Drosophila melanogaster: one gene and its partners. The protein of the gene in region 1 interacts with the protein of each later gene in a pairwise test. Each region holds a gene or a part of one and is shown in the gene's direction. Other genes may lie near its edges.

The links.
Region 2: the proteins of mira (region 1) and flfl interact in a two-hybrid assay, tested with the Drosophila melanogaster proteins (one study listed by BioGRID).
Region 3: the proteins of mira (region 1) and pros interact in a two-hybrid assay, tested with the Drosophila melanogaster proteins (2 studies listed by BioGRID).
Region 4: the proteins of mira (region 1) and cup interact in a two-hybrid assay, tested with the Drosophila melanogaster proteins (one study listed by BioGRID).

What each region holds. Positions count from the first base shown.
Region 1 is NT_033777.3:19,931,099-19,937,184, reverse strand, and holds mira (miranda), read left to right. Parts: upstream 1-2,186; 5' UTR 2,187-2,511; coding exon 2,512-5,001; 3' UTR 5,002-5,151; downstream 5,152-6,086.
Region 2 is NT_033777.3:13,682,009-13,687,337, forward strand, and holds the start of flfl (falafel), read left to right. Parts: upstream 1-1,912; 5' UTR 1,913-2,142; intron 2,143-2,416; 5' UTR 2,417-2,516; intron 2,517-5,163; exon of another isoform or gene 5,164-5,202; intron 5,203-5,329. Other genes in the region: omd (oocyte maintenance defects), read right to left, coding at 1-123, 179-954, 1,019-1,125. UniProt on the Drosophila melanogaster protein: Regulatory subunit of serine/threonine-protein phosphatase 4. The probable PP4 complex Pp4-19C-PPP4R2r-flfl (PPP4C-PPP4R2-PPP4R3) is required to prevent caspase induced cell death (in vitro). May be involved in DNA damage repair.
Region 3 is NT_033777.3:11,326,059-11,331,785, forward strand, and holds the start of pros (prospero), read left to right. Parts: upstream 1-2,421; 5' UTR 2,422-3,898; intron 3,899-5,727. UniProt on the Drosophila melanogaster protein: Homeodomain protein that controls neuronal identity. As a transcriptional factor, regulates the expression of ftz, eve and en in a subset of neuroblast progeny and modulates the transcriptional activity of other homeodomain proteins such as Dfd.
Region 4 is NT_033779.5:6,661,675-6,667,206, forward strand, and holds the start of cup (cup), read left to right. Parts: upstream 1-1,989; 5' UTR 1,990-2,475; coding exon 2,476-2,913; intron 2,914-3,256; coding exon 3,257-4,117; intron 4,118-4,589; exon of another isoform or gene 4,590-4,676; coding exon of another isoform or gene 4,677-5,334; intron 5,335-5,411; coding exon of another isoform or gene 5,412-5,532. Other genes in the region: Ube4A (ubiquitination factor E4A), read left to right, coding at 1-25; CG13771 (uncharacterized protein), read right to left, coding at 423-1,393, 1,458-1,700, 1,762-1,903; Galt (Galactose-1-phosphate uridylyltransferase), read right to left, coding at 4,677-5,334, 5,412-5,532. UniProt on the Drosophila melanogaster protein: Adapter protein that plays a central role in localization of transcripts in the oocyte and in young embryos. Maintains RNA targets in a repressed state by promoting their deadenylation and protects deadenylated mRNAs from further degradation.

The sequences.
Region 1 (6,086 bases):
TGCTTAATTGGCTTATATGCCGATAGAACATGGCTTTAGTTATGTTGCTTTCAATGTGCCCCTTGTTAGTTACAGTAGGAGCTAGTTTATCTGGTCTGCAAAAACCAGATCCAATGTCATGGGTCCGGTTTCCTGGATCCCTTTTCTTCGTAGCTTCATCGGGACGTTGCTCAAAGGTCGATGACTCAGATCCACGTCCTCGTTCTTTAGTAACGTTTTGTATCCCATGAGGGTGCGAAACCCCTTTGATCTTCAGGGGCCAAGCCAGTCTTTTGTTGCACTCACTTTGTGTTGTGATGACATTGGCTCTGGCTCAGGAGAAGTGAGAATGGATCCCATGGAAACATCATTAGATCGCGTTACCTTATAGCGCGTTCAATGAATGGTAGTTATGCATGGACAGGCATGGGAAAATGATGTTGAAGGTGTCGCGGCGTAGGGTAAATGTCATTAACATCATTAATATTACTGTGAGTCCTGCACATCATTGGATCAGCGAATAATGAAAACCCTTTTTCGTAAAATTTCCATTTTTATTATAAGAGAGTTTGGGAAAATCAAATGCAAATATGTTTATGGGAAAATATTACCTCTATGAAACCAAAGGATGGTTTCGTAACCTTATATACATACATATTATGTACATGAACTATATAAATTGACAAAGGTTGTGAAGCATAAATATAAATTAAAAAGTAATGCTTGAGTATTAATATTCTATTGATTTCCAAACGATTTCCCTTGTCCTATGGCTCCCTACATTGTCTTTCTACATTATAATTCTTTTGCACAGCTGTGTGTGGCTGACCCACCCAGAATTTCATGCTTGTCTGCTTTAACCTAGAATTATCACCTCCCAGTTGCTAGAATCTTCCGGTCATTGTTTGCCATCAAAGGAACAACCAGCTGATTTCAGTTGGCAGTTGTGACAAACTCACTGGAGAAAAGAAGTGAAAAAATGACAGGATGCACAGGCAGCTACCGCAGGATCAGCAGGATATCATGAGGGGGTTCTCTATACAGATTATAGATGGCCGATTGCCCAACTGCCTAGCGATATCACATGAAAAATCAATTTTCCCGACGCATTTCCATTTTCCATGCAATTCATTTAGCCTCAATTCCATTCAACTCATTGCGCAGGCGCAACTCGCCCATTTCCGACGCATTTTCCTTTAATTATGCGGGCATCGGATTTCGTATCAAATTAACGAATTATGCTGGCTGCCAGCTGTGTTGGAGCTAACGGATGAGGCAGTCCATCCAGCCATCAGCTCATATCCTTGTACTCGTAGTCTCGCAATTCTCGAAAGCAATCGCATTTACTTGTAGTCCTCGAAGGAAAGGAGAAGCCCAGGCAGATGTGAGTGAGTGTGTCTCTGTTCGTCGGCAACGGCACATTTCCCATATGTACTTAAGCCGGGGAATGCGGAACCCCGTCGTCCTATCTCCACCCCTACCCATCTTGCTACCCCCACTCCGGTCTCGAACCCTCCTCGTGCTGTCTTGAACTACAATTGCAACATTTGCGCGCGCTAAAATGAAAACATTTCCTTTATATACACGAGGCCGACGTCTTGACAAACACACAGATAAGACGAACAGGGGATCAAGAACTGTGGCACGAACTACCACCAAATAAAAAAAAAATTAGGAGTCGTATAACTCGGCTTACCTGAATTCTAGATACTCTTAAAAGAGGACATTATAGAAAATATATAATATTATATGTTTAATTTAAATTGAAAAGTGGTTAAGATCAGAAGAATTATGCCGTCTGCAAATGACTTGTCTAATATTAAATTAACATTAGAATGTTTAAGGAATATGAAATTTTTGTTCAGCTAATATCTAAAAAATCCAAAATTGTCGTGATATTATTTTCTATGTCCACTAATTATTATATTCAATGTTAATGTTATTAGATTAAAATGAAAGTCCTACGAAATGAAAACCATAAACCATTTTTCGTTTGAAGATCTCGGAAATACCCAACCTGAAATGTTGGGTATATCCCACATAGGTGAAGCAATGCAGGATCGTTGAAGCGACCCCTGCTCGAGCGAGGGTTGTTTTCTTTGCCTCCCCTGGGTCTATCTCGTTTCCACACTCTATCCATCCCTTTTCCACTCGCTGTGCCAGCTGGAGGCTATGTCTGCCTCAGGGATCTTGGACAGAAGGTGAGCTCAGTTAGGTTTTGACAGCGGAACGCGTAGGTACAGTGAAACGGGTAGCAACGGGATAGCGGGTTTAGTGTAGCACAGAACGGACCACAAAGTACAGATGAATTAAATACGACTACAGACTACTACCATATTGTTAAACAGTTTACCTAAAAATCCTAAGGAAAAGATAACCAAATTAAACCGAAAGTTAAAGTTGTGTTTATGTTTGATCGTTGAGTTATTGTTATATCGAAAGTTAAACGAGCGTTGTTAATGAGACATTGATACAAAATCCGAAAAGAATCGTTACCAAGTTAAACCGAAAGTCCAAAAAACAAATTCGAAAATGTCTTTCTCCAAGGCCAAGTTGAAGCGTTTCAACGACGTGGATGTGGCCATCTGCGGTTCGCCAGCTGCGTCCAACAGCTCGGCGGGATCGGCGGGCAGTGCCACGCCCACCGCGTCTTCGGCAGCCGCTGCTCCGCCAACCGTTCAACCGGAACGCAAGGAGCAGATCGAGAAGTTCTTCAAGGACGCCGTGCGTTTCGCGTCCAGCTCGAAGGAGGCCAAGGAATTTGCCATTCCCAAGGAGGACAAAAAGTCAAAGGGATTACGTCTGTTCCGTACTCCTTCGTTGCCGCAGCGCCTACGCTTCCGTCCGACTCCCAGTCACACGGATACGGCCACCGGAAGCGGAAGTGGCGCCTCAACAGCGGCATCCACTCCTCTGCATTCGGCAGCCACCACGCCCGTAAAGGAGGCCAAGTCAGCCAGCCGTCTGAAGGGCAAGGAGGCACTCCAGTACGAAATCCGTCACAAAAACGAACTGATCGAGAGCCAGTTGAGCCAACTGGACGTGCTGCGCCGCCATGTGGATCAGTTGAAGGAAGCCGAGGCCAAGTTGCGCGAGGAGCATGAGTTGGCTACCTCCAAGACAGATCGGCTCATCGAAGCCCTGACCAGTGAGAATTTATCGCACAAAGCTCTGAACGAGCAGATGGGCCAGGAGCACGCTGATCTTTTGGAGCGTTTGGCCGCCATGGAGCAGCAGTTGCAGCAACAGCACGACGAGCATGAAAGGCAAGTGGAGGCGTTGGTTGCCGAGAGCGAGGCACTGCGTCTGGCCAACGAGCTGCTGCAGACAGCGAATGAGGATCGTCAAAAGGTGGAGGAGCAGCTGCAGGCACAACTCTCTGCTCTTCAGGCGGATGTGGCTCAGGCCCGCGAGCACTGCAGCCTGGAGCAGGCAAAGACCGCCGAGAACATTGAGCTGGTAGAGAATCTCCAGAAGACCAATGCCTCCCTGCTGGCCGACGTGGTCCAGCTGAAGCAGCAGATCGAACAGGATGCCCTGTCCTACGGACAGGAGGCCAAGAGCTGCCAGGCGGAACTGGAGTGTCTGAAGGTGGAGCGCAACACCCTGAAGAATGACTTGGCCAACAAGTGCACTCTGATCCGCTCGCTGCAAGACGAGCTTCTCGACAAGAACTGCGAGATCGATGCTCACTGCGATACCATTCGCCAGCTGTGCCGGGAACAGGCTCGCCACACCGAGCAGCAGCAGGCGGTGGCCAAGGTGCAGCAGCAGGTTGAGAGCGACCTAGAGAGCGCGGTGGAGCGCGAGAAGAGCTACTGGCGCGCCGAGCTGGACAAGCGCCAGAAGCTGGCCGAGAACGAGCTGATCAAGATCGAGCTGGAGAAGCAGGACGTGATGGTGCTGCTGGAGACCACCAATGATATGCTGCGCATGCGCGACGAGAAGCTGCAGAAATGCGAAGAGCAGTTGCGCAACGGCATCGACTACTACATCCAGCTGAGCGACGCACTGCAGCAGCAGCTGGTGCAGCTGAAGCAGGACATGGCCAAGACGATCACCGAGAAGTACAACTACCAGCTGACTTTGACCAACACCCGGGCCACCGTCAACATTCTGATGGAGCGTCTAAAGAAGTCCGATGCGGATGTGGAGCAGTACCGAGCGGAGCTGGAATCGGTGCAGTTGGCCAAGGGAGCGCTGGAGCAGAGCTATCTGGTGTTGCAGGCGGACGCAGAGCAACTGCGCCAGCAATTGACCGAGAGCCAGGATGCGCTCAACGCACTGAGATCCTCCTCCCAGACGCTGCAGAGCGAGGTATCGTTGAAGGAGTCCTTGCTCCACGAGCTGCTAGCCGGCGAGGCGGAGACGTTGGCTAAATTCAATCAGATTGCAAACTCGTTCCAGGAGCGCATCGATGGCGACGCCCAGTTGGCCCACTACCACGAGCTGCGCCGCAAGGACGAGACGCGCGAGGCCTACATGGTGGACATGAAGAAGGCGCTCGATGAATTCGCCACCGTGCTGCAGTTCGCCCAATTGGAGCTGGACAACAAGGAGCAGATGCTTGTTAAGGTGCGCGAGGAGTGCGAACAGCTCAAGCTGGAGAACATTGCCCTCAAGTCCAAGCAACCGGGATCCGCCTCTCTGCTGGGAACACCTGGCAAGGCCAACCGCTCCAATACCACCGATCTGGAGAAGATCGAGGATCTGCTGTGCGACTCGGAGCTGCGATCCGACTGCGAGAAGATCACCACGTGGCTGCTCAACTCCTCGGACAAGTGCGTGCGCCAGGATACCACCAGCGAGATCAACGAGCTCCTGTCCGCCGGCAAGTCCTCGCCCCGTCCCGCCCCCCGCACACCCAAGGCGCCGCACACCCCGCGCAGTCCGCGCACCCCCCACACCCCACGAACACCACGATCGGCGGCCAGCACTCCCAAGAAGACTGTCCTGTTCGCCGGCAAGGAGAACGTGCCCAGTCCGCCACAGAAGCAGGTGCTCAAGGCGCGCAACATCTAGGCTATTCCTTTGTAACAACTACTCTATCGTACTATTATAAATTATATACCTTAGCTAAGATCCGATTCGAAATATAATCAATACACGTTGCACACAACACAGCCAGAGGTGTTTCTGAAATCTCTTTCGAGCACTCTCCGACTAAATTCCAAATCTGATTGTTTTCTATCTTTCGCGTTTGTGTTCTGGAAATATGGGACTTACCTAATCTCATAAAAAATATCATTTTGATGCAATGCATTTTAAGGCATGAGAAATCAAATAAAAAATCTGAAAAAGGTGTCTTGGAAAGTGAGACCTTCTTTAAAGCTATTTAAATTAAATAGACTCATCTTTGAATGTAACGAAAATAATGAGAATGCATCAATTATTTTTTCCATTTATTAGCCAATTTATTCATATAAGGTCAAATTATCTGTAAAAAAAAAAAAGAAATAAAAGGTATTCTGATCTAAAATGTAGAAGTGTACAGTATCATCACCTTGAACTTCGTTCTTAAAATACGTTATATCTTGTATATGCATTTAAAAAAGCCTGTACCTAAAGAATCAGGAAATTGTTTACGTTTTTCATACCAACCCCGTGCAACTCGTTTTTGATTTCGATGTGGTGGAATTTTCTCATGCTGAAACTCCTCGTTGAAGAATGAGAAGGAAGGGGTGTGGGCTGCCATGCAATCCGATGGATTCTTGCGACGCTGATTACGCACACGTGTCCCTTGGCACCGCCTTATCCCCGATGGTTACTCGATGGGAACGGTTCCAGAGTTGCGCAGTTCCTTAGTTCCTCGAGCGAATCGGAACAGCTGCGCCTGCGCTTCCTCCTCAAGGGTGGCTTAACTCAACCGTCTTTTAAGAAGGGGCCGAAAACGAAGGGAAATGCCCATGCACCACCAACCACTGGTAGTTGCAAGCTCGCTTCATTAACTGTGACTTAAGCCTGTTGACGGGGTTTTCCCTCACCTTTCTTTGTTTTTCCGCTCCTTTTCCTTCCCCGTAAAAATCTTTAGCTGCCTGCATCCCAAGCGACCCTTTTGTCTTGGGCCGCATAATGGCCGCTTATGACCTTTGACATTTTCTGCAATG
Region 2 (5,329 bases), 6.2 Mb from region 1:
TCGCTCCACGCTCGTTCAGGCGCAGCACGGCATTATTCAGCGTGGGCTGCATACCGGCAAACATTTTGTTGCTCAGCCACAACGGCGCCTTCTGCACTATCACCTCGCACATGTCCTCGGTATCTACATGACATTGTGTTAGAGAAATAATATATCTCTTTATTCAACCAGTACTTACAGATTTCGACTAGCACATTGACCAAGCTCTGCAGGATCGTGTCCGAGTAGTTGGTGGTGATCAGCAGGAAAGGAACAACGGCCACGTCCAGCGGCTTCTTCGGTGCGAATCCCTCCCTAAGCATCTCACGAAAGGCTGCCCTAAGGTGCTGTTCGTGGCACGAGGTCATATAATCGAGGATGCCCGCCTCCGAATCCAGGTGGCAGCGGTAGTCATCGACGAATCGCTTGATGCCGCACTGTAGAATCTGCATGATGATCTTGTAAGGGAAACAGCCGCCCAATCTCGCCACAATCCAGTCGAAGGTCATGGGAAACCGGTGAAAGGCATTGAGCATGATCTCCACGCAGGCCTCCTCCTCCGGTTGGGTTAACTTTCGGAAACAACTATTTATAAGGGTCATCAGCCCGTGCATGGCGCTGCACTCCAGCCAATAGTTGCAGCTGGCCGTGATGGTCATCCGCCGCTGGGTGTACTTATCGGACAGCTTGGCCACTAGTTCCAGACTCCAGTTGGCGATGAGCGGCGACCAGGCGGGCGGTCCCTTCCACACCAGACTCTGCAGCGCGGTCTTTACCAGATTGAAAGCCTCGTATTCCGGAGCACGTTGCTGCTGCTGGCGATTCCCGGCCAGCTTCACCTGGGATACCGGCATACCGGTCTTTGGGTCGGCCATCTCCGGCGACACATACAGCTGCACACTGATTTCGGCCAGCAGGGCGAAGTATTCGAACACAATGTCTCGCGTGGCGGGCAGCTCCTCCAGGAATCCCAGTCTGCAAATATCCATGGAATTATTTACTACGGGCATCATTATTAACCACCGCGGTTGCTACTCACGCGAGCTTGATGAGATTGGGGCTGGTCAGCAGCTGCGGACAACTGTGCCCATTGCTCACCGTCTCTATGAAGTGCTTAAGCTGATCCAACAGGTTCTGGCGCAGCATTTTGTCGTCCTAGGCATCGGGAACGCAGCACCGAAGTTGGCCAAGTGAGCAAATGCATCGCAGCAGCGGGTCGCTGCGTCTTTCACTCGGAATACCAAAACGACGGGGCACAACTGCAGGCATTTGGAATCCGCCGCCACCTGGCCACACTAAGGCGGCAGAAAATTCGAAATTCTTTAATATCTGAAAATCATAAAATTAACAGAATAATAAATATCTTAGCACTCTAACGTGTCATTACATTCATTATAAACTAGCACCTGAGATTAGTTTAAGATGACACTTTACATTCAAGTTAAATTAAGCTGGAAAAGATTTCTAATCGGAATTATGTGTTTACTACAATGCTAACTTTCGAATCGAGGATGTAATTACTGAGTAATCAAACTGTTTGCTCTTTTTAATACTAAGTAAACGTACTTATAGCTCTATTTTCTAATTTTATAATATTTAACGTGTTTTTGTTTTAAAATATTATCGTAACAGTAGGGAGTGCGAAAAACGGTAACACCAAAACCCAGTTCGTGCATTATTGCACACTCTTTTGGGGCGAATCAAGAGCGAAAGACAACATGGCGTCGAAGCGGCGAATCTGTCTCGCAGTTTGTCGTGCTGTTTGCTTTTTTCTGCTCTGATTTGTACAAATATTCATTCAAGGTGCTCCAGTTTTGCCAAGTATATGTTAATAGAGTACCATAACAATGGTGGCGTCACAGGGGTGCTAGAGTTCGATATCGATAACAGCTCACATTCTCGTCATATGCAACTATCGCTGTACTCTCTGGCCGAGTATCGATACGCAGATATTATCGTCGTGGTCAGACCAACGCTCTAGCGTCGGTCCGCGGAAAATAGCGAAAATTACAATTATCCGGGAAGATATATTGGTCGAAAACTAACTCGTGATCCCCCAATAAATATGCGCAAGAGAAAATTGTATATAAACTGATCGAATGCAGCCAGCGTGCTAAGCACTAAAAGCGAAAAACGCCAGAAACAGAAACAAGGAATTGCAGCGTGAGTGTATAACTTTTTGGTTTTTGCCCCCGCGCTCTTTCTCTCTCTTTGCTGCTCTCTCTCTCCCGCTCTCTTTTGCCCTCTTGCGGCTTCTGTGTTGTCTGCGTGCTAGTGTGTGTGTGTTTGAATTTTACTGTGAATGTGACCGACGGTGTGTTCTCACGTACTCCGTGGATGATTTGCGGCCTTGCCAGGGAATCGGACTATATATCCCGGCAATAGCCCATATTGGATCCCGATTTTGAATACAACTCGGCTGATTTGCTTCTTTCAGTGTCTCCCCTTTTATCGCACTTTATGCAACAACGCATACCGTCGTGTTGAATTTCCTCGCTCTCCGCTGTGTGTGGTTTGTAGGTGTGCGTGTGTTCGAGGTGAGTTAGCCGTCGTCTGTTTTTCTTTTCCCTGCGTTTTGTGTGCGTTTCAATGAAATGCAAAATCGCCAGCGAATATCGCGGAAATGCGCTGCTCCTAAATATTATGTATACATAAATAAAGTATCGAATCAAAACAAAATCGGCTTGCAACAACAACAAAAACATTGCAGAGTGTGGGTGGCGCGTGTAGCGATCAAAATTGCGTGCATGTGTAATGTGTGTGGTGGAGAGACGGCATTTTTCTTTACCACACGCCTCTTCTTCTTTCCCACAATACACTGCAATTTTTGCGATTCTGTTTTGCGCCTGCCATTCGCAATAATTTTATTGAATGAACCGCAAAAGAGACGGCCCAAAAAGCGATGTACTTGCCAGACGTTGTGTCTGTGTGCGTCCAAGTGTCTGTAGCGCGTTGTGTGTGTATCGCGTATGAAAATACATCAACTGTTGGGCATCAACAAAAAAACGGAATCAAAAATTTATAATAAAAAATGAAAGGAAATTAGCTGACTTTGTAATCGCAATCGGAGAGTGTTTACTTGCTAAATTTTCGAGTTCTCCGCCCGTCTCTTTCCCTTCATCCCTCCTGCCTTCACCGCCAATACCACCCCAAAAAATTGCATACATGCACACACGCCTTCGGTTGTGCGAGTGGTTTAGTGTGTGAGCGCGCGCGTATTCTGCACACATTGTCATGCATGCAAAAAACAAGATACGACGCGTTCGCAATCGTTAGATTCCGTCTCCCCCAATTCATGGCGTTTCATTGCTGGGGGCGAAAGTAAGAAGATAACGAAAGGGATATGCGAACCACTTCCTAATGAAGTCCTGCATCCTTAGCTTTTGGATTCCCACCTCTTCGCCTTCTCCTTCTTCACACGGACACTTGCAGCGTTCGCGCCCATGCGTGTGTATGTGTGCGAAGAACAGGAAGAGAGCAGCGAGACTCCAATTATCCATTTACAGTTGCGGTTGAAATGATGGAGCATAGTTGTATTATTTGTATTCACACAATTACCGGTGGTATTTAAAGTCTTAACAATATTTATTAATTTCCTGCTACCTTCCTAAATTTTATTCATAGTTTTAATACTGTACCCAAGTACCTTAAGTTCCCTAATCAGATGTAAACTTGTTGATAGGCATAATTCCTATCTTAGTTTGTATTTTTGTCTACTATAACCTAAACTTAATTCTACTACGAATTTAATTACAACATACTAAGACTGTAATCTACAAACCAAACGAAAATGCCTTGAATAAAAGAGGTCTAGTGATTCATAATACGATTTGCACACGTGTTATTAACTAGGTAGTAGCGAAATAGAGTCAAAAAGGCCACCGACTTGTTCACAACTGTATCTCTTACTAACTTCCCTATAAAAACTAATTGTTGCTGGGGCGAAAAAATACTGCCAAGTTGTCATATTTGCCGGACTTTATTGATGACTCGACTCCAGAGCTCTATATTTCGCACACAGATTTTCTCTCGGCACTTTTCGCAACCTTCTGCGGCCGCTGGTTATTAATAAAAATTAATAATAAACGAAATCTGTGGCGCTGTGCGGCACTTGGACACACTTATGTACACATGAGCATTCTCGTGTTTTTCGCAGCTGATTGCGTAAACGAAACCGCTCGCTACGTTTGTTTTGAATTGCTACTTTTGTTTTGGTACCGATTCAGACTTGGAATCCGATTCAGTTACAGATTGAGATTGAGATTGAGATACTCAGGCTCTCCGCCTGGGCTTCAATTCTCCTGCGGGCGTTATCAGTGGCCTATGGCGCTTTATTGGAATTACCATGGAAGTGGGAACTTAATCGCTGTGCAAATCGCTTCGAAACAGCGCAGCACGCATTTTCCCCGACGTCTTGCAACCTTGGGCGAGTGGCACTGCGGGCGGTGGGTGGTGAGCGGTTGGGTGATCTAGAGTGACGTAAATATTTGTGGTGGACAGTCAACATTGAGGTGGCGCTCTTCAACGATGACGTAGCTTTTGCCACTTCTGTTTACTCGCACATTATTTCACACACTTCTCCATTGATTTTCGCCGTGCAGATAACGAAATAGTGGACTGATTGTTAACTGTGTATAAATGAAAATATGGGTATGATATGTGTTTATTTACACTTTTTTTCTGTGTACGAGAATGGTTAGATTACTCCCCTTCCTCGTTTTGAGTCACCCGCTCTCTGGCCCTCGCCGCTGTTTGTTTTCTTCGCGCGCGTGTTTGCTCTCGCCGTGGGGCGAAAGCGCAGCGATAATAGTGGCTCAGATATAGTGTATACTATATGTATAGTAAACCTACTCATACCGAAAACCCCATCGCACAGATACGGATACATTTACAGATACACGCGCGCACTGCGGAAGGCCTAGATCTAATGGAAAACGCTAAATGTTTGTAAACAGACCGGGCACATTTCTTTTCTTTTCTTAATTATTTTTTGCATTTCGCATTTTAGTTGGCATGGTCTTCTCACGGCTTCTCTCTCTTCACACATCTTTCTTCCGAAAATACACTCACACACACGCACACCGAACGTAGCTTTCACATTTTCATTCATCGCAATCTTCGCCATGAAGTGTTGCAAAGGCCCCAAGATAAGATATAGGATGCACTTGGATACCTTAACCTCACCTTTTTGCGACAATAGCACACGAATAATCCAATTTTTTGTATGACGTTGTTGGGCGAACAATTTTATAAGTCTTGGAAAGGAATTTCTGTGCTGTGTTGATACACAAAACAACAAAATAATAAAAAATTATAAATGGTATTGAACTACTGTACTAGTGAATAGTTT
Region 3 (5,727 bases), 8.6 Mb from region 1:
ATGCATTCGATATGCTCATATGAACCTCAAAAAAGTATATATGCTTAATTAAAACCCATGCTGAGCGAAATACTTTTTCAGATCATATATATATCTGGTTATATGGATATGTTCTTTGCTGCATTAAAAGCGTAATTTTAAGTAGCAAGCCAAGCGAGCAATGCCTTAAGGGAATGCATATAATTTGATGTAACTTGCATATGTAGATCAGTTATTTAAATCGGTTGAAATCGAAATGCCCTAGGAATTCCAGGTCTATTCGACTTTTAATATGATTTCTGCGCATAGTCATCAGCTGCCTGCTGCGGTCCGCGAGCTCATTAATTAATGATGACAGGATGGACAGGACTGATGGCTCGTTGGGCAGGGAGTTGGAAACCGCAGCTGGTGGCAGTGGGCCTACTGCACGCCACCACCTTTGTATTTGTGCATAACAACTTATGAATCCATAAGCTATCTGGCAATCTCTTTATGAGCAGCATTCCCAATTTCTCTCTGATATCCTGCGAAGGCCAACCAAACCATACCGAACCATAGCAAACCAAACCAAAACCATATCGAGCCCGAAGCAAAAGCAGAACGGGCACAGTGGCAAAGTCAATAGCCAATGCCATCGATAAAGCCATAAACTTCATGTACTGGGTGGAGATTGTGGGTGCTGCTGTTCCTATCCGGCCTAAACTGCGCCATCCCAGACCTGTGCCCGCGTTCTATCCATTTCCGGGAATACGCGGCGTATGAGTAACGAGCGCGATGCGTAGGATTAAATGCAGGCGCTGCCTAGTTCCGATCTGTGCCTCCTCGTCTATATATCACTGATATACATATATATAATATATATATACATATATATATGTACATATATATGGACACATATATCTCTGAGCACGTACATAGAGAATTGCAGTGGCTGTCGCTGCACTCGCCCACCAATTTTTCTCCGCTTTTTTGATGCGCTTTCCCAGAACCCCCATGTGCATGAGTTAGTAGGAATTTATGCTGGCTCTATTATTGTTGCTCTTGTTGTCGCGGATCCTTTTTGGCGGGGTATGAGTGCGGACGACGCTCTACATTTTTTTCAGCTGCAGTTTTCTTTGCTGGATATTTTAATGCCAACTCTGACGATATACCAATACCAGTGCCAATAACCAACACCCATAAATGGCGGCAAAATAAAATAGGAAAAAAATGTGTGTTGCATTCGCGCAGGGGCAACATAGAAAACTTTTACGTTTCGCTTAGGGTTTTGCTTTATTTTTTGCTTTCAGGTTTCCCTCTTCTTTTTTTGCGATTTTCATTTTGTTGCTTTGGCATTGCAAATGAAAACGAAAAAATTGCATTTTCCCCGCATATGGATGTGTGTGAGAAGCACGAAATCAAAACAAAACATGGCCACATGGCGGGTCCTGTCGGCTGGTGGGTGTGCGGATGGGATGTATGGATGCATGGACGGATGGGGCACATGAACAGTGCACAGCCAGGAGCAACAGCTCCCACAGCTGCCACACTACCTCCCTGCAGATGTATCTGTATCTGCGAAATGGTATGGTCCATCTGGCGGGAAAAGGGGCTGGGTTTTAGGTACACTTAGGCTCGATAGCTGCAGTTTTTCGCCACCCAGTCAGCGAAACAGACCACCACGCAGTTGCCCAGTCCAAAAACCACCTCATCAGTCGTTTGGGGGTTTGGGTGTTCCATACTTTTTGGCGTTGTTTGATTTTTAGGCGCAGCAAAATGCGTTTTGCTCTTGATTGAAAGTGTGAAGAGTGTGGGGCAGCATGCCAGCGTGTGTGTGTGCGATATGTGCATTGTCCGTGTCCTTCTCGCAGTGTGCATGTATTGGCGAGGACGCCGCTGCCGCTGTCGTCGCGCTTTGTTTTGATTTTTCGCGACTGAGCGCGCGTTGCTGTCTGTTTCTCTCTGTGTTTTTGGATTTGTCCAGCAATGCATATGTGCGCCCACTGTTCTAGTGGGTGTGTGTGTGTGTTTGTGGTTGTGTGCGAGGTTTGCATGTATATGTACACTAGCAGCTAGGAGCGGCGCTGACGTCGCAGTCGCAGCAATTTTTTGCGCCAAAGCCAAACCAAAAAGGACGAGGACAATTCGGTTGGCGCTGCAGCTGCGACGTAGCCGCGGAATTTTTTTGCGCGTTTCGCGCCCGGCCAGCGGCCACTTTCATCCGTATCCACGTATCCAAGTATCCACATCCGCATCATCCTACTCCATCAGCGTTAGCATCAGCGGCCGAGGGGCTGGCGTCCCTCATAATCAACGCGCTGCAGCGACGACGCCATCGACATCGACAGCGGCTCTGGCTTTGGCTTTGGCTCTGTGACTCTGGGGCCCGTCATCGTTAGCAATTTTTGCCAGGACATTGCAACAGAAAACTGCTAAACGCGAAACAAGTTGCGGCGCTTTTTTCTGCTCCTCGGGTTCTCGCTGTCTCCCTGTCCTGGCCTGTCCTGAATCGAACTGAGCCGTGCTGCCAGGATCAGGCAGCAGCAGGCAGCAGACAGCAGGCAAGGCACATCAGTAGGCAGTGCAAGGCAGGCAGGCAGGCAGTCGGCAGGCAGGTCGCCACTTCTCGCAGACTTCTTCGCATCTGCATAAATCAAACCCAGAGGCAGTAGCAGAAGCAGTTAGCCACCCCAAGAAAAAACTCTACAACAGAAAAATACCGAAAAACAAAAGAAAAACAAACAAACAAATAGAAATAGAAAAGAGAGACATCGAAGCAGAGAAACGATAGGAGAACGAAAAAAAGTGCCAAGTGAATGTGAAAGTGAAAGTGTGTGCAAAATGACTTGAAGTGCAAGACTAGACACCTATGTACGTACCACCTACACCACCCAGCCTGGAACACACTACGTATACGCAATGCGGCCCAGGCGCTCATACGCCCCGTTGGCCCGCCAGCCCTTCGAACTAAGACTCGGGCTGGGGCTCGAACAGCCATCGCTCGCCATGCCGTCTTGAGTGCAAAAAATTACCCGCCAAAAACCCAAAAACACACACGGCCGGCTTGCGCCAAAGACAATGTAAGCGCCGGCACTAGAATGTAGAGCAGTTTTTTCTTCATTTCCCAAAACTAACTAACAAAACCAGCCAGCCAACAACAAATAACAAAATAGACAAAGTTACATTTTTACCAATATCGATAATATTAATCACTTGATAATCAGCGCCAGTCAAACGCAACATTTCGTTCGTAAACAACAACTACAACTAGCCACAACAAAGCAAGTCAAAGCCAAGAAGCAACCAAATAAGCAGGCAATACCAGTCAGTCCGTAACGTCAGCAGCAGAAACCAACGAAAAACCAAAATAATAAAGTAAAACGATTGAGTAACTCCAGTTTCAGTACCGCACCGATTCCGATTTGAGCAAAAATTCAAGCGTCTGAATTTGATTTCGATATCGTCTGGCCCGTTCCGTCTTCAAGTCTCGGCCAAAGGTTCGTCATCGTCCCGACACACTCTCAGTTTCTACAAATTCAGACGTAGATCCTTAGTTAATTCACCTTTTGTATTGTGCATTTCGGCAAGCAAATATTTTGGAAAGGATCCCCAGAGAACAAAAAAAAAAAAAGGCGAAGAAGAGCAGAAGTCAACACTCGAAATCGAAAACTACGAAATTACCTGAAAATTTTTAAACAACCAAAAAGTCTATGAATGCAACAAAAATTACACGCTAAATTTTACAAGTGCAAAATTTTCTTATAATAATTTATCAAAAAAATAAAAATAAATTTACAAAAAAAAAAAAAATTAAAAAAGAAGCATAAAAAAACGGAACTTAGTGAGAAAATTAATCAAAGTTTAGAGAGAACATTAAATGCAAACGGAATATCAAAAATTGTTGTGATGTGATATTTTTTCGATGTACTTTTATTTGAGGGTAAGTAAAGATCACTATCAAAAATTCATTTTTCAACCATTACTCCATTCTTTTCATCAATCATTGACTCATTGGGGTTTATTTATCTTTTCAGAATTATAGAATTTAGATAGAGAAATAAGGGAAATAAATACATTCGAAGCGTATATTTTAAGATCTAGGTAATTTAAAGATGTTCTGATTAAGAAAAGTATCTATTATGGGATGCTTGATCATAAGAAAATGATTAACAGTGAGCATTTAACTACTGATCATTTTTGGAAGAGAACGAGAAGAGAACGACATTTAAGACAAATAGTAAATGGATAATATGAGTGTGAAACATTGAGCAGTATTGATTTTCATTAGAAAAATTAGGAAAAGGTTCATTCTTTAATTATAATGTTATCATCTAAGTTAAAATCAATTCAAAGATATACTCTTTTTAAGGCACAAAATCTATTTCACCAACGAAAGAAAGCAGGGCAGTCAAATTTTAGTAACTTAGCTAAACAGCATGTTTATTTCAAAGCGCCAAAATAATAACCATATTAATTGCTACAAGTAAATATTTAAGAGGAAATGTCTCCTTTGGAGTTCCTTAGTTCAGTGGGTCTGAAGATCGCAGAAGTCTTTCTCCGCGATTGAGCTCGGCACTTCCTCCCAAAGTTCTTCGTGTCCTGTCGTCGGGTGACGGCGTTCAGCTGCAGCAGCAACATGCAACAGCATCGTGTTGCTGGTGTGCACGCGGCTCTCCCCAGCAGCAGCAGGTTTAGTTGTAGTTGTAGACTTTTTGCTTTTCTACATCCTCACACACATACAGGCACACAAACGCACACAGCAACAAACACGAGTGCAAGACGCGAAGTTTTGGAGGCATGCACATAATGTAAACAAGGACATGCGCAATGCACCGCGCTGGCTTTCCCCGCTTCCACAACAGGAGAAGTGCATTGCAGGCAATGCAATTGCCAACTAGAAGATAGCAGCAGCCAAAGGGGCAGTGGGTGGCTGGGCAGGATTTTGGTCGCTTTTGGGGGGGGGGGGGGTGTGGTATTGGCGATGGGGTGTTGCTGGGTGGCTGCTTCATTTACCAACGGCTGCACTAGTAAATAGCAGATGGCAGCGAAGTCGGCGTCGGCATCGCTGTCGACGCCAACTTGCCACAGTTTAGATGGGAAAAAAGGAAAACTCCAAAGAGCCAGAGAGAAAGACAGAGTGAGGGAGAGAGAGCGAGCGAGAGTGGGTGAGAAAGAGAGAGCGAGGGCTGCGCAACGAGAGTGGCGAGTGCAGCCGAAAGGATGCAATGCTGCAAGGCAATTGCACTCCAGGACTCTCACACACACACTTACGCACACAAACGCATCCGCAAGCAGCTAGACTGAGGCGGTTGCTTCTTTTTTGGTTGTGTTGTCTCTTTTCGGCTTATTTTTAGAAGTCCTTTGCCCCCTCGCCGGCGCACATCCCACCCCAGCCCCCTTGGCTGCATTTTATTTACTTGACCAGGCCTCGGAAATTTACATGGCCAGCCGTGGGAGGGGGTTGCAGTATCCACAGCAGTAGCAGCAGCTGTTCCTGGAGCCCCAGCACGTGCAGCAAGCAACTGCCCTTCAGCCGCCCAGCCGCCCAGCCACCCAGCCACCCAGCTGCCTGCGTGATTTGTGCGTTGCCAGGATGCTGATGCTGATGATGATGGCGATGGCGATGATGAGGCATCTCGTAATGATCTGGGGCCGGGAAAAAAGGGAGCAGGAGGCGGTGGTGCAGCTGCATTTCCTTGCCAGCAACGCCGTGCGTGGTTGGTCGGCTCGAAAAAGGGTCGGCGGCACTGATGGGGGTTGGGCTGTGAT
Region 4 (5,532 bases), on another chromosome or scaffold:
GGAGGCGGCCCGCTCGAACAGTTGAGGTAGCAGCGAACCCGCAGCTGCTGGCTCAGTTGCCCAACCAAAGAGTTAGCTCCACGGGGATTCGGTTGTTAGGGCAATAATCAATGTTTTTTTGTTCATAAGAATTCCAGTCATACATGGTGGTATGTGTATGTGCAGTTTTATAATTAGTGGTTTTTAAAATGTATTCTTAATCCATTTTTTCCTGTCAACCGAATTAATTAACAAACAATGTGTACGAATAACATGCAAAGGATAAATTATTGTAGTCATATTTGGTTTTGTGTTCACAATATGTTTACATATATGTTTAAATAAACGGCGTTTCGCTGAAAAAATGTGTATATTCAATTAATTCATCAAATGAAAATATCTATAATGCAAATCGACAGCATATGTTTTATTAAATCCAATCTCTAATTGTCTTTTTTCGCTCCATTGGTTTCTACGGCAGATCCATTGTCCATGTCGTGACTTACTGATTCACGGAATCGATTGAAGTAGCGACGACCAGTTAGGTACCACAGCGCCTCGTGATAGCTTCTGGGAAGGATCTCCGGAACTGCTTTGCTGCAGGAGTAGGTCAGGTGCAGCACATTGCACTTAAGCTCCGTAAAGCTATTGCCATCGATTGCATTCACCACCGTCAGCAGCTGAATGTAGTTTTCGTGGGTGAAAACCACGTACGCCTTCAGTTTTATATAGCTATGGACGGGAATGGAATGGGCGAACGTAACGTCCGCAATGAAGCGGATCATGCAACGCTGGTTGGAGTAGAGGGAGGCTGTCATGTAGCTAATCTCGATAGCCTTGCGGATGATGAACCCTCCGAAAATGGTGTTCGATTCGTTTCGGTTCTCCGGGAACGGATGCATCAGGGTTCTGCGGCGCCACGTGGACATCCAGCGGGAATTCGGTGGTAGAGTAGTCATATCACTCGGCGAAGGTCCGTCATCGCCCTTGGTTCGGGTAAATAGCTCGTACATGAGCTGCTGTTCCTCCTTGGTGGGCTGCTGCGACTCCAGGCGATACAACGCTTTGGCACGCTCCTGGTGCCGCTTCTGCGCTTCCTGGTGTAAACTTTCTTCCAGCTCATTGGCCGGCACCAGAGGATTGACAGGAGCAGGGCCATTATTGATGGCATCGCGAGCCTCTACCACAAAAATGCCCTTTGCCAGCAACATTCCGCTTTGTCGCACATATGCCGTGACCTCCATGAAGTTATTGTCCGTATATGAAACGTGACCGGAGAGGGACACATCTGCATCCGCAATAAACTTGTCTTGCAAGAAGTGGGCGTGGTCCACCAGCATGGTGATAAAAGTGTATGGCAGCGGCACACCCTCCGGCAGATTGGGCAGATGGATGTGAAGATGGCAGATCCACACTGCAAGGCCACTCTCATTAATCAGGTATTTGGAGTAGTTAGTTAGTATACTTTACTTACTTACCTGCAAGAAGGTCAAGTTCCTCAATTATCCTGCCCATGCGAAGCAAGCCTCGCCCGTAAACGAATCGTTGCCTCAACAGAGCATCTGTTTCCAGGAGCACCTGGGCAGTCGTTTGTGAGTCCAGCATGGAGCGATTGGGCAGTTCGTCTTGCTTCGGCTGAAACTTGAGCAGTCCATCCCGGCTCTTGGGAATGATGTGGTAGCCTCCTTCCACGCCGACGTGCTCACGGATTTTCTTCGCCACTGTGCTTGGTATTGGGAGTTGGATAAGTGGACGATAATGTGGAGGTTTACCCGCGGTTACCATCTGCCATCGTGCCCGAGCGGTGCCCCGAATCCAGCAGCTCCCTCCCGGATTCCATGAACGAGTGACGAATTGCACCCAGTTGGTGCCACGGGTGTCGCACGGCGATCACCCTTCTGCCAAAGTGCTGGCTCAAATTCATTTAAATTTTGGGTTTGTGTGCTCCGCTATATTCATATGTATAGTTGTCAAATAATAAGATACAGTACGTTAAAATCGTTTGCACTTAATTTTTTAAATTTGTAACAGAATAACGGCTTTTATGTAATCGAAATCTTAAGAATCACAAGTACTAGTTTCCAAAGTTATCACGTTCCAGGCTTAGCTACTTTCTGTTGTCAAAAGTAAATGTCGTAGCGCATTATTAATAAATTCGCTGTTTTGTTTAGGAATCAAAGAATTAACTATTTGAAAGCTGTATAAGTCGCAGATCAGTGTTTGTCAACACTGGTCAATCCATCCTCCATCTTCCACCATTCGCTTTCGGTATTTTTTCCTATTCCTGTCCTGCTTACTCATCGTAGCAGCGCCGAATAACGGATCCTAAGATCGAACGAACCTGTGCTAAACGTGATTTCGTTCAATTTCTCATACATTTCAATATATTTGACCCGATCAAAAGTACTCGTTTTAAGTTTTAACCAAAAAAAAAACCAACAATTAGTGAGTATGGACCCTATGAAAGAGGAGGCGATCGAATTGAATGGCCATGCTATGCAAATGGCCGAAGCTGAGCAAGAAAATGGCGCTGGCGCCCTGAAAATTGCCACCAATGCGGGTGCAACCGATCGTCCAGCGCATCAGCAGCTTCCGCTGCCAGTCGAAGATCAGCAGGATGAGGTGCTGACCCCCGCTGAGAAGGGCAAGTTCGAGTACCCGCCCCCTCCACCGCCACCAACTCCAGTCCAGGCTCCGCTAGCCACCAAGGCCACCGCTCTGAATGCCAGTCAAGAGCATGACGACGACGAGGCCAACTCCGAGAAGTGGGAGGATCCGTGCGCTCCGCCCCCGCCTCCTCCGCTGCCGACTAGCGCTTTCCTGGCCACCGGACTGGGCTACCTCAAGCTGCCCGCCTTCAAGCTGAAGGACGCACTGGAGAAGGCCATCACCAAGTTGGAGGCCAACAAGCGGACGCTAAAGGCCAGCCCTGAGGTGAGTTCATTACATATAACATTTTTAATTTTATTATTAGCAGTGCACACTGTTGTCAGATTATATATTTATATTGAAATACATTTTAAATTTAACTTTTCTTGAGTCAAACTTGATATTAGTCTAAAATCTTCGCAATATTTATTGGCCAACAAAGCACAGTATTAAACACGTAAATGGTATTAGGAATCAGAGCAGCTCTGATACAAATGTCGTTAAAAATTTAGTTAAAGAAACTTTGACTTGGCATTCATATATTCGACACTTATTTTACATCGAGTACAGACAGGCACTCTCATATATCATGAAGTTTTTTCAATGTTGTTTTTATTTTGGCAAACAGTCTTCTCGTTCCATCAAAAACAAGAATGTGGTGGCCCTGGAGATGTTACCCAGGCGCTCAAACCCAGAAACGATCGGCGATGGATCCATGTTGGCATCCACATCCACGGCTGTTATGCTGCAGACCAAAAAGCCCGCCGTTATTGTGGAGATGGAGAGGCGTTGTAAGATCATCAATTTACTGGCCAAACAGAATCAAATCCTCGAATCCATTTCGGGGGAGGCCATTCCGATGCATGGACCCTCGAAGCATCTGCACGAGGACGAGGGTCTGACCCTGCAAGTTCTCTCGGCCCGAGCATCCACACCGTACACACAGCCCTCCAGCATGTTGTCCTGCACGGCCGTTAGTTGTGACCTGGAGCACGATTCGCCGCGGAAGCAAGTGGCCAGCAAGGAGGCCGTGCCGGAGCAGCAGTCTAGTCAGGTGCAGCAAAAGCGTCCACCCAGCACAGGCATTCACAAGCCAGGAAGTCTGCGAGCACCCAAGGCTGTTCGTCCTACTACTGCTCCGGTGGTCAGCAGCAAGCCGGTCAAGAGCTATACCCGCTCCCGCCTGATGGACATTCGCAACGGGATGTTCAATGCCCTGATGCACAGGTCCAAGGAGAGCTTTGTGATGCCTCGCATCGCCACCTGCGACGACATTGAGTTGGAGGGAAGGCTTCGCCGCATGAATATTTGGCGCACCTCGGACGGCACAAGATTCCGGACCCGCTCCACCACAGCTAACTTAAACATGAACAACAACAACAACAATGAGTGCATGCCTGCCTTCTTCAAAAACAAAAATAAGCCGAACCTAATCAGTGACGAGTCCATCATCCAGAGCCAACCGCCCCAGCCGCAAACGGAGTTCCAAGTAAGCTAGTTAAACTTATACTATTCTACTCAATTTTGCCATATATTCTATATAAAATAGACTTGGTTAGCTTAATGGAAAACTTATGATTTGAAAAGGAAAAAGTGATTGTGACAGTGCGGTAATTGTTACAGTTACACATGGCGTCGATTCATTTGAGTACCTCGACCATCTGATACCCCTTCCTTTGTAGGCCAAATTGTCTTTTTGGTCTGCTCAGAAAAGCTCTTTTATGAAAAATCATATTTCCCGCCTTTTCTGCTTAGAAAAAATCGCTTAATCGATTAAGAACATTTTCCCCACTTTTGCATTAGGTAACACAAAGTCGCATTATTCCTGAGCTTATCTGATAAATCAATGATTGCATTGCATGACCTCCAGAGGTCTTTGGCAATCATGCTGATCATTGGCTGGACCCTCGCCACAGTCAAATCACTAATCTAGAACATTTTACAACTGATTGCGAATAAGTATGAAGTAATTACTACAGTCGTATTAGACTATTTCCTTTTATTGAATTCTAAACCATCTGGGATTCTACAAATACCCTCGAGCGAAATCACTTCTCTAGATAATGACACTTTCCATCGACCTCCCGCAACCTTTGGGCTGCCTGTTCGGGAGTCAGATCCCGCTGGGCCATGGCCAGCAGCTCAAATCCCACCATGAACTTGCGCACGGAGGCAGAACGAAGCAGCGGCGGATAGTAGATGGCGTGCAGGGTCCAATGAGCACTGGATGCGTGGGCATGCTCCGGCCCAGTCGGTGCTCCATGCCAACCCATCGAGTAGGGGAATGAACACTGGAACAGATTGTCATACTTGGTGGTCAGCTCCTTTATGGTCAGCGCCAAGTTGTATCGCTGTTCTGCGGTAAGATCATTGATCCGCTTATTGTTGTTGCGTGAGATGAGCATGGTTTCGAAGGGCCAAGTGGCCCAGAAGGGCACCACCACCAACCAGTCGCGATTCTCAATGACAATCCGCTCCTGGCGCTGCAGCTCACGCTCCACATAGTCGGCCAGCATGGGCCGCTCGTTGGTGGCGTAGTAGGCACGCAGACGCTCCTGCTTCAGTTGCGGTTCCGTCGGCAGAAACGAGCATGACCAGATCTGGCAGTGCGGATGGGGATTGGAACACCCCATGGCGGCTCCCTTGTTCTCGAATATCTGCACCCACGCGTACTTGGCGCTAAGCTCGTTGAACTGGCTGATCCACCTAGATAGGCAGTTAGATAAAAAGTGGGTTTATTATTTTGAGTATCTTCTGATATAAACCATAAATCCTCCACTTACTCGTCGATAACAACGACGATTTCCGCTGCACTCATCGTGGGCAAAGTCAGATTCGATTTGGGATGGAAGCACATCACTCGGCAGTTGCCACGGGCGGGAGCTATCTGGAACAGTGGATCAT